Linked DNA regions of Nothobranchius furzeri. The main gene of each other region encodes a partner of the protein of the gene in region 2 in a complex. Links are inferred from orthologs where the notes say so. Each region holds a gene or a part of one and is shown on either strand. Other genes may lie near its edges.

Region 1 (3,050 bases), on a different chromosome or scaffold from region 2:
CAGACCGGACCCTCCTCAATTCCTGCATCTGTCCTCCAACTCCAAGTAAAAGTCCCAGGTGGACACACAAAGTCCTGATGTAAGTTCCTGCTTCACAGCTGACCCAGAAGATGCCTGTTCAGAAGAAAAACATGATTTAAAGCAGAAGAGCATCAAACTTCATGACCTCGGCGTCAAAATGAGTGTCTCACCCAGCCTCCGCTCTGGGTCGTACTCGATCAGCTTGCTCTCGTAGATGGTTCGGACTCTCAGCTGACGTTTCACTGCAGCGATGAGGGGAGGACGCTGGAATAGAGCTCCGGTCAAGGTCTCCAGGGCCTGCAGAGGACATTCAGGACCATCAGCTGGTCAGGTCAGAGGAAAGGCAGCAAATACAGGGTGTGACTTACCCGGGCCAGCACGTGTTCACTCTCTACTGCGTTGTGCAGCCGAACGATTCCCACATACTCCTTACCTGTAACACACAGAAGCTTTTTGTTTTTATACAACCAACAAGTTGCAAATGGCATCTTTGACCCTAAATGGATGACTTCCTGTTGGATGTAGGCCACATATTCAAAAGATTTGAGTCCACCAGTGGCTACTGACATGCACACAGCATGTACATTAGCTAATAAATGTTTGCCCACTTCTTAAAGCTTTTGGGGTTAATGCATTGGGCACTCACCAGCACTCTGCTGGGACTTCACTAGTCTGGTGGCTCGGTCAATGCAGACGATGAGGCAGCCAGTGACCTTTGGGTCTAGAGTCCCGCTGTGGCCCGTCTTCTCCACTCGCAGGATCCTCCGGATCCACGCCACCACCTCATGAGACGAAGGGTTGGCTGGTTTGTCCAGGTTGATGAATCCAGACCTGATGAGAGGAGATGCATGGTCACCACTGTAGATAGAGCTCAGTCAGAGCTGTGATCTAGTGAAAGTACCTGACATAGTCGCTGATGTTTCTTTTCAGCGGGTTGCTGCCACTGGGTATGGGGGTGTAATGAGATGTAAGGATGTTCAGCTTATGGAGATTCTGCAAGAAGCAAAACAAACCACCTCAGCTAGTGGGTCTGCAGAGTTTCCCTTACATAGGTGTAGCTGTGGCGGCTTGCCACAGCTGAAATCCCAGCGCCACGCCTACAAGATCCCAAGTTAAATTTTTTTTTTTTGCGCCGTTTCCCGAAGAAGCAGCGGGAACTACTCCGTTGCTTGTGATCACAGCCGACAGGCAGCAAGGAGGAGGTGGCAGGGCAGGGAGGTTACAGCTAGGGATGAGCCGGATACTCATTTCAGACGAGTATCCGGTACGGATAAAGCATTTTTGACGAATACGAGCATTAAACTCGTAAATATCTAAGTGTGCTGAAGGAAAATCCTCATTGGGTAACTGACTGTCTTCATGCTCTGTGATTGGCCATTCACATAGAGTGCCCGCCCCTCCCTACACATAAGTCTGCAGGGAGCTCAGTCCGTCCGGCCCATCCACACACAGTAACGGATCTCTCTGATTGCTTCACTGTTGCTCACCTTTCTTCAGTGCACTCTAGGTTTTCTTCAGCTCGCCTCTTTTTCGGTTGAATATTTAAAGTAACTTTTTTCATAACGTACGCGGTGCATTTGACAAGACTAGGGCTGCAACTAACGATTATTTTCATAATCGATTAATCTGTCGATTATTTTTTCGATTAATCGGTTTGTTACTGTTTAGCTATTTAACCTATACAAGTGATGGATGCATTTCAGTTAAGAAAAAAAAAACATAAGAGAATTGTGCAGTTGACTGCAATCTATTTTATTGCACATGAACACAGTCAGCAGTATAAAATGAGCTAAACAGTGCAAAATATCAGTCCAGAATAATTTTTTAGCATTAGCTGGAAGCCTGCTCCTTCCACCATGGATAGTGGCCTCATGTCTTTTACCAGCATGTTTAGAATAGAGTTTGTAAGTGGTATGAATTGCTGGGGGGTGAGTGTCTTGTTCCCCATGTAGTTGTCCATCGTTGCTTGTTTTTTTCTGCATAAGAAACACAAATAGACTGAAATAAGTACACATATAAAATAAAGCAGCACACACACTACAACACTAAATCAATGTTAAATTATTTGTATTAATTAACAATATACAGTGATCATTTATTTTGAGGGTTACGTTCTACAAAATAGGCCGCAACAGGAGATATTAAGAAAAAAAGTCTAATTTTTTTACTATTAAAAAGCTCTAAGTAAGAAGCTCATGAGGTTTTTACTTTGAGTCGGGAGTGTTTAAATTAGCTAGAAAAATGTGAAAAATGTTTATTTTGTGTAATACTGTTTAAGAAACATGATAAAAATGTGTTGTGAGGCGTTTTACAGCGTTAGACAGTAAAACAGCCTTTTAATAGTAAAAAAATGACTTTTTCTGAATTTCTCCTGTATTTAAAAATTGAAAGCGTACAACTATGCCGCGTTATATTCACCTGGACACAGCTCGTCTGTATATTTTTCACCGCAGAGTTGTCCTTTTTTGAATGAGGAACATAGTTATGGGTTTGTGCCGTTTTTCTCTTAACTAGAACATTCTTATAAACAGACGTGCTGAATTTGGCAAGCGCATGATTCACAACACGGAGGAGATTCACGATTGCATCTAGTCAATCAGAAGTAGAACACCGTAGACTGACGCGACAAAAAAACATGTTTAACATCCACTATAACGAACTCAGCTAAAACACTAAGTCCAGCTTGTTTATTTTCTGTTACTTACCGGGCTGGCTCTTCCAAATGACGGCTCACTTGACCGCGGTGCTCTTCCTCAGCCCCCACGTTTTCGTCTCAAATGTTCACTTAGGGACGTCGTGCTTCCGTGCCATGCTAGATGGTTTTTGCATATTTTGCCTTTTCAAGGCATCTAGACTGAAGTGCTCCCATACTCGTGAGGTTTTTGTCCGGGGTTTCTCTAAAGTTTTGTCGCTTCTATTTTCTTCCGTATTTCCTCTTGTTCCGCCATCTCTCACAGCAAGATGAGCGTCAGTAACGTGATACGTCATGAAAACCGAGGGCACTCATTGGCTCATTTCTTCTTCTACGG
Region 2 (4,344 bases):
TCATTGGGTCTTTGGTAATTTAAGACCTTTGGAAACTGTATTTAAGGATTATTTGTCATTTTTAAGGATTTTTAAGGCCTTAAATGTAGAAAAGCAAATTTAAGACTTTTTAAGGACCTGCAGATACCCTGTTAAAAACAAAAACACTAACTTCAAAATTCTGCTTAAAAACACATTTTTATTAGATTTGCTTAAAAAAATAACATAATTCTGAAATATTTTCTTGAACGACCAATTTAATTATTTCTCTCAGACATTTTGTGAGCTTTTTCCAGTCAAATGTTTTTATCTAACCTTTTGGGGTCTGCTGTAGGGCCCTGCAGCTATCGAATATTTTTGTAATCGAGTACTCTATCGAATATTTTATCGATTAATCGAGTACTCTAATAAATTACCCTTTTGCGTTTGTAAACCATTATATCAAACAGCATGTTATAAAATATGAAAGACCTCTTAAAATGAGCCCGCAATTGCCAGTTATTCTTCAAGTTTTATTCAAATTTAGTTTTCAAAACTTCAGCACTTCAACTGTAAACAAATGAGAGCGGCTGCGGCCCAAACAGAACCAGAACCGCTCACGGCGCATGCGCAAACATGGCTCGCCAGCTGTTTCCCTATTAACACCCGTCCGTTTTAATTTCTACACTTTTTTGTCTCACACAATAACAAGGATTGTCGAAAGCATGTTTGCCGTTGTTATGTCAAATTATACTGTTCACAAAACATTTATTTACTTTCTTTCGTTTTCCTCCGCCACTCATAAATACCCGTGTCCTCCTGCAGCAATCCTGAGGGACAACGGACATCAATAACAACACAATAAAAAGTCCGACGTGTTGTAAAAACTGCTATTTTTAGCACATTTTAAGACCGACGTGTTGCTACCAGACGCACGGTGTGAGCTGAAACTGAGTGCTACAAACGAAAAAGTCACAGTGTCTGCAGAATATATAGAAATACAGGCTAAAATGCATTATCTTGTAGAGGCTCCGAGTCCGCTTGCAGAAGTGACATTTACATGTGGATGTTTCCTGGTCAGGTGCTGCAGCATCGAGGATGTGGTGTTGTGGTAGGCTAAATCCATTTTACAGTTTTTAAACTAGAGTACGTTTTCCGCCTTACGACGTGAAAAATGGTCCCACACCTTTGACATTTTCTGTCTTTTTCGCACTCCACCGGGGTCCACGTTGTTCGCCATGGCTTAAAAGAAAGTTCAGTAGCGTCCGCTACTCGCGTGTGCATTCAGTGCAGTATGTATGTGCGTCACTTATTTCGGTCTGGGTGAAACATGACCCCGGGCGATTGCAAAGCCATGAATTAATTAAACATGAATGAAACGAAGCCTCGAGGCAGAGAATTTGACTCGAGGATTTTTGTACTCCAATTATTCGAGGTACTCGAGGAATCGTTTCAGCCCTAGTCTGCTGTATCGTTACCCTCGCTTTAAGAAAACAGAAAAATAAAACATTATTTGAACTCACTGCTGTCCTGCAGCAGGGCTGCCTACAGATTCATTCTCGTTGAGCGCCTCCTCCTCTTCTGGTTTTGTCTCAGTTTCCTCTGCATCATCAGGAGCTTTGGCTCCATTCAGATGACCTGCTGCCACGTCTTCCTCAGCCCCCTCTTCCTCCTCACACCTTTGTTCTATTGTTGCTTTAAACAGAACAGAAGAAACTATATAAATGATATATGTAAGTTTCAACTCTAATGTGTATAACTTCATATGAACAGGACTTTACTTTGTGCAGATGCAGCAGGGTTTTCTAACACACCACCTTGTGATGGGACCGCATCTTGTCCCAGCTCCTCCTCACTCCTCCTGGACCGTTTGGCAGAAGGTGGGAACCCCTCCTCTGAAGTCTCTCCGACTTCTACAGACTCACAACGTCTCAGTGAGGCCTGTGGAGGGGGCTCGCTGTCTGCTTCAGAGTCTGCACCCGCCAGGCCTCCACCCTCCCCACCTCCGGCTGAGTCAGACATGGCTGTGTCTCTGTCCTCCTCTGTCTGGTGTCTTTTTGTCCTGCTGGGAGAGTGCTGTCAGACGTGGGTGAGGTAGGTGCTACTAGGATAGTGCTTCTTCCTGCAGTGTGGACGATTGAGTCTGTCGGGGTTTGATGACATCACCCACCTGAGATAAACAGGTAACAGGATTGTGATTCCAGACCAGATTCTAGAAAACTGACCATTTCAAAATAAGAGCGTGAGAAAGGCTATTTTTTATACAATTATTTTAACTTTAAAAGACCAGCTAACATTTTAGAAACGTAATCTGTTACTATAGCAAAATGCATGGAAAGGTCGGGTTGAACGTATGTGAAGTTTGTGACGACTACAACTACTTAAATTTTAAGTTTTAACTTTTATACAAAGTTTCATCATTAGTGCACCTTAATTATAATAATTATAAAATTAAAGAGGCATAAACACGGATGTTCCAACACCTGTAGCTACTTTAACGAGCCTTCGTGTTCATTTTTAGCAAACCCGACAACTTGTTACAACAGCCGTCGTCTATTTAACTTCAAGTCCACAACATTCATGTAAATAAAGTAAAAACACCTTTGAGTCACGTTTTGGACCACTAACAGAGACCGCTACACTGTGTTTGCTCAGGTTAGCATTGACCGAGCTAACGGGTTGTTGCTACCTACCTGCGTTGTGCTTCGCCTGAGCGTTGATGCTTCGCTGTTTTCCACTCAGCGGTTTTTAATTTTAGACGAAAACAAATTCTACAAAACTAGACGAGGTCTCAGAGGTAGATAACTTAGTTGTCAGTTCAGCAGCTCATTGCGAGAAGTTGTAAACACCGTAGGCGGCCATGTGTCCTAAAGTATCGCGAGACTTCCGTTTTAGAACGTTGCTAGAGCAGGTTACATAATTAGTGGACTTCCTAAAGGAGAATGAATCATGTTTAGACTATATTCGCTTAAGAAAACGCTCAATTTAGTTGTTTTACGGATGTTAGGAACACCTAATGTGAATGTGATACGTTTTAATAAACTAAATGACATTCAAAAAATAAAATAAACAAGACAAAAAATCTGACTTTTTCCTCTAACATTTTTTTTCATACATTTTGATATGCAAATATTTCGCAAGAATTAAATCTTTAAATAAACAGTTCTGACAGATAAATGTGGTTTATTTAGTATTTATTTTGTTCTTCAAACATGAGTCAAACTATTTACACAGCTCTGTTGTTCTTCTCTGAAACAGTTTCATCAAATATAAAGTATGCTGTTATATCCAACAACAATTACAGACTTGTTAGAGAGGAGCTGAGCTGACCGGAGTAAAATTATCATCAAACCATTCTGCAAATTCATATCCACCCGTGCACCAATCAGTGAGTTGTGTTTGAACCAGAAACTAGTGAACGTGATAATAAAAGCCTTTGTAGTGCAGTAAAATAGAAAAGCAGACTGAGCAATGATTAAGCTCACATATTCAGCTTAAAAACAGGGGTTTGTAGGCAAATTAGACTTTATTGCATAGTTAAAAGCTTGTCCAAGATTTGTTTATAATCTCAAAGTGTCGCGGCGTACCAAAGTCTTGCTGGGATGAGTTTGACCTCCATGGGCATTTATTAGAAGGTTAATAGGTGGTAGAAACAGCCAATTGTGTGGCTATAAATGTCACAAAAACCTAATACGTGACCAAAAAACCCTTTTTTTAAAATGTAATTTGACAAACATAGTTCAGGCTTACACAATGGACTGGTTAACTCCTATTCAGTGCTATTGAAGATGTTCACCACCCAATTAATCTGTCAAAATTCATGTGATTAATATATAAAGCTTGTCCTTATAGGACAATATATGCATCTCTTACCAAATCTTCTGGAGTGTTAAACAAAAAGGAAACTTATTTACCCCAACTGCCTTTTTAACTAGGATCCTAATTAGACACCAATTTGCCCCGATCAGCTCAGCTCCACTGCACAGACTCCAGCTCTTTTTGAGCCTGCACCATCAAAAATCACCTAAATCTGAACAAATTCACTCTCCATTTTAGTGAAAACAAAAGCCTACCACCAGCAAAAAGATTTAAAAAAAAAAGAAAGTCAACACTTCCTGCTCTGTGTGTGTAGAACTAAAGGTGAGTGGATGGATGAGGTTTATGCATCGCAGCTCTTTAAGCCAACAGAAAACAGTTAACAAGGTGGTTTCCAACTAACACTCATTGTTGAGAACATTTTCAGTTAGCCATTCGAGACTTAACTATACAAAATAAGGCATGTTGAACAAACAAATAAAGCCAAAACCCTCTATGAGAAGAAACAAAAGGTATAGTACACTATTTACAAAGCTCATCGTGTATATTGATGAGTTGATGTGTGTGTGT

The links.
Region 1: wrap53 (region 2) and dkc1 share a complex: the UniProt entries of both Homo sapiens proteins name them as parts of the telomerase holoenzyme complex. The link is inferred for Nothobranchius furzeri from reciprocal best matches to the Homo sapiens genes WRAP53 and DKC1.

What each region holds. Positions count from the first base shown.
Region 1 is NC_091758.1:16,260,688-16,263,737, forward strand, and holds part of dkc1 (H/ACA ribonucleoprotein complex subunit DKC1), read right to left. Parts: intron 2,959-3,050; exon of another isoform or gene 2,727-2,958; intron 1,998-2,726; exon of another isoform or gene 1,746-1,997; intron 1,015-1,745; coding exon 923-1,014; intron 853-922; coding exon 668-852; intron 455-667; coding exon 390-454; intron 319-389; coding exon 192-318; intron 115-191; coding exon 1-114.
Region 2 is NC_091742.1:83,817,770-83,822,113, forward strand, and holds the start of wrap53 (telomerase Cajal body protein 1), read right to left. Parts: upstream 2,864-4,344; 5' UTR 2,652-2,863; intron 2,129-2,651; exon of another isoform or gene 2,021-2,128; 5' UTR 1,981-2,020; coding exon 1,740-1,980; intron 1,654-1,739; coding exon 1,482-1,653; intron 1-1,481. UniProt on the Homo sapiens protein: RNA chaperone that plays a key role in telomere maintenance and RNA localization to Cajal bodies. Specifically recognizes and binds the Cajal body box (CAB box) present in both small Cajal body RNAs (scaRNAs) and telomerase RNA template component (TERC).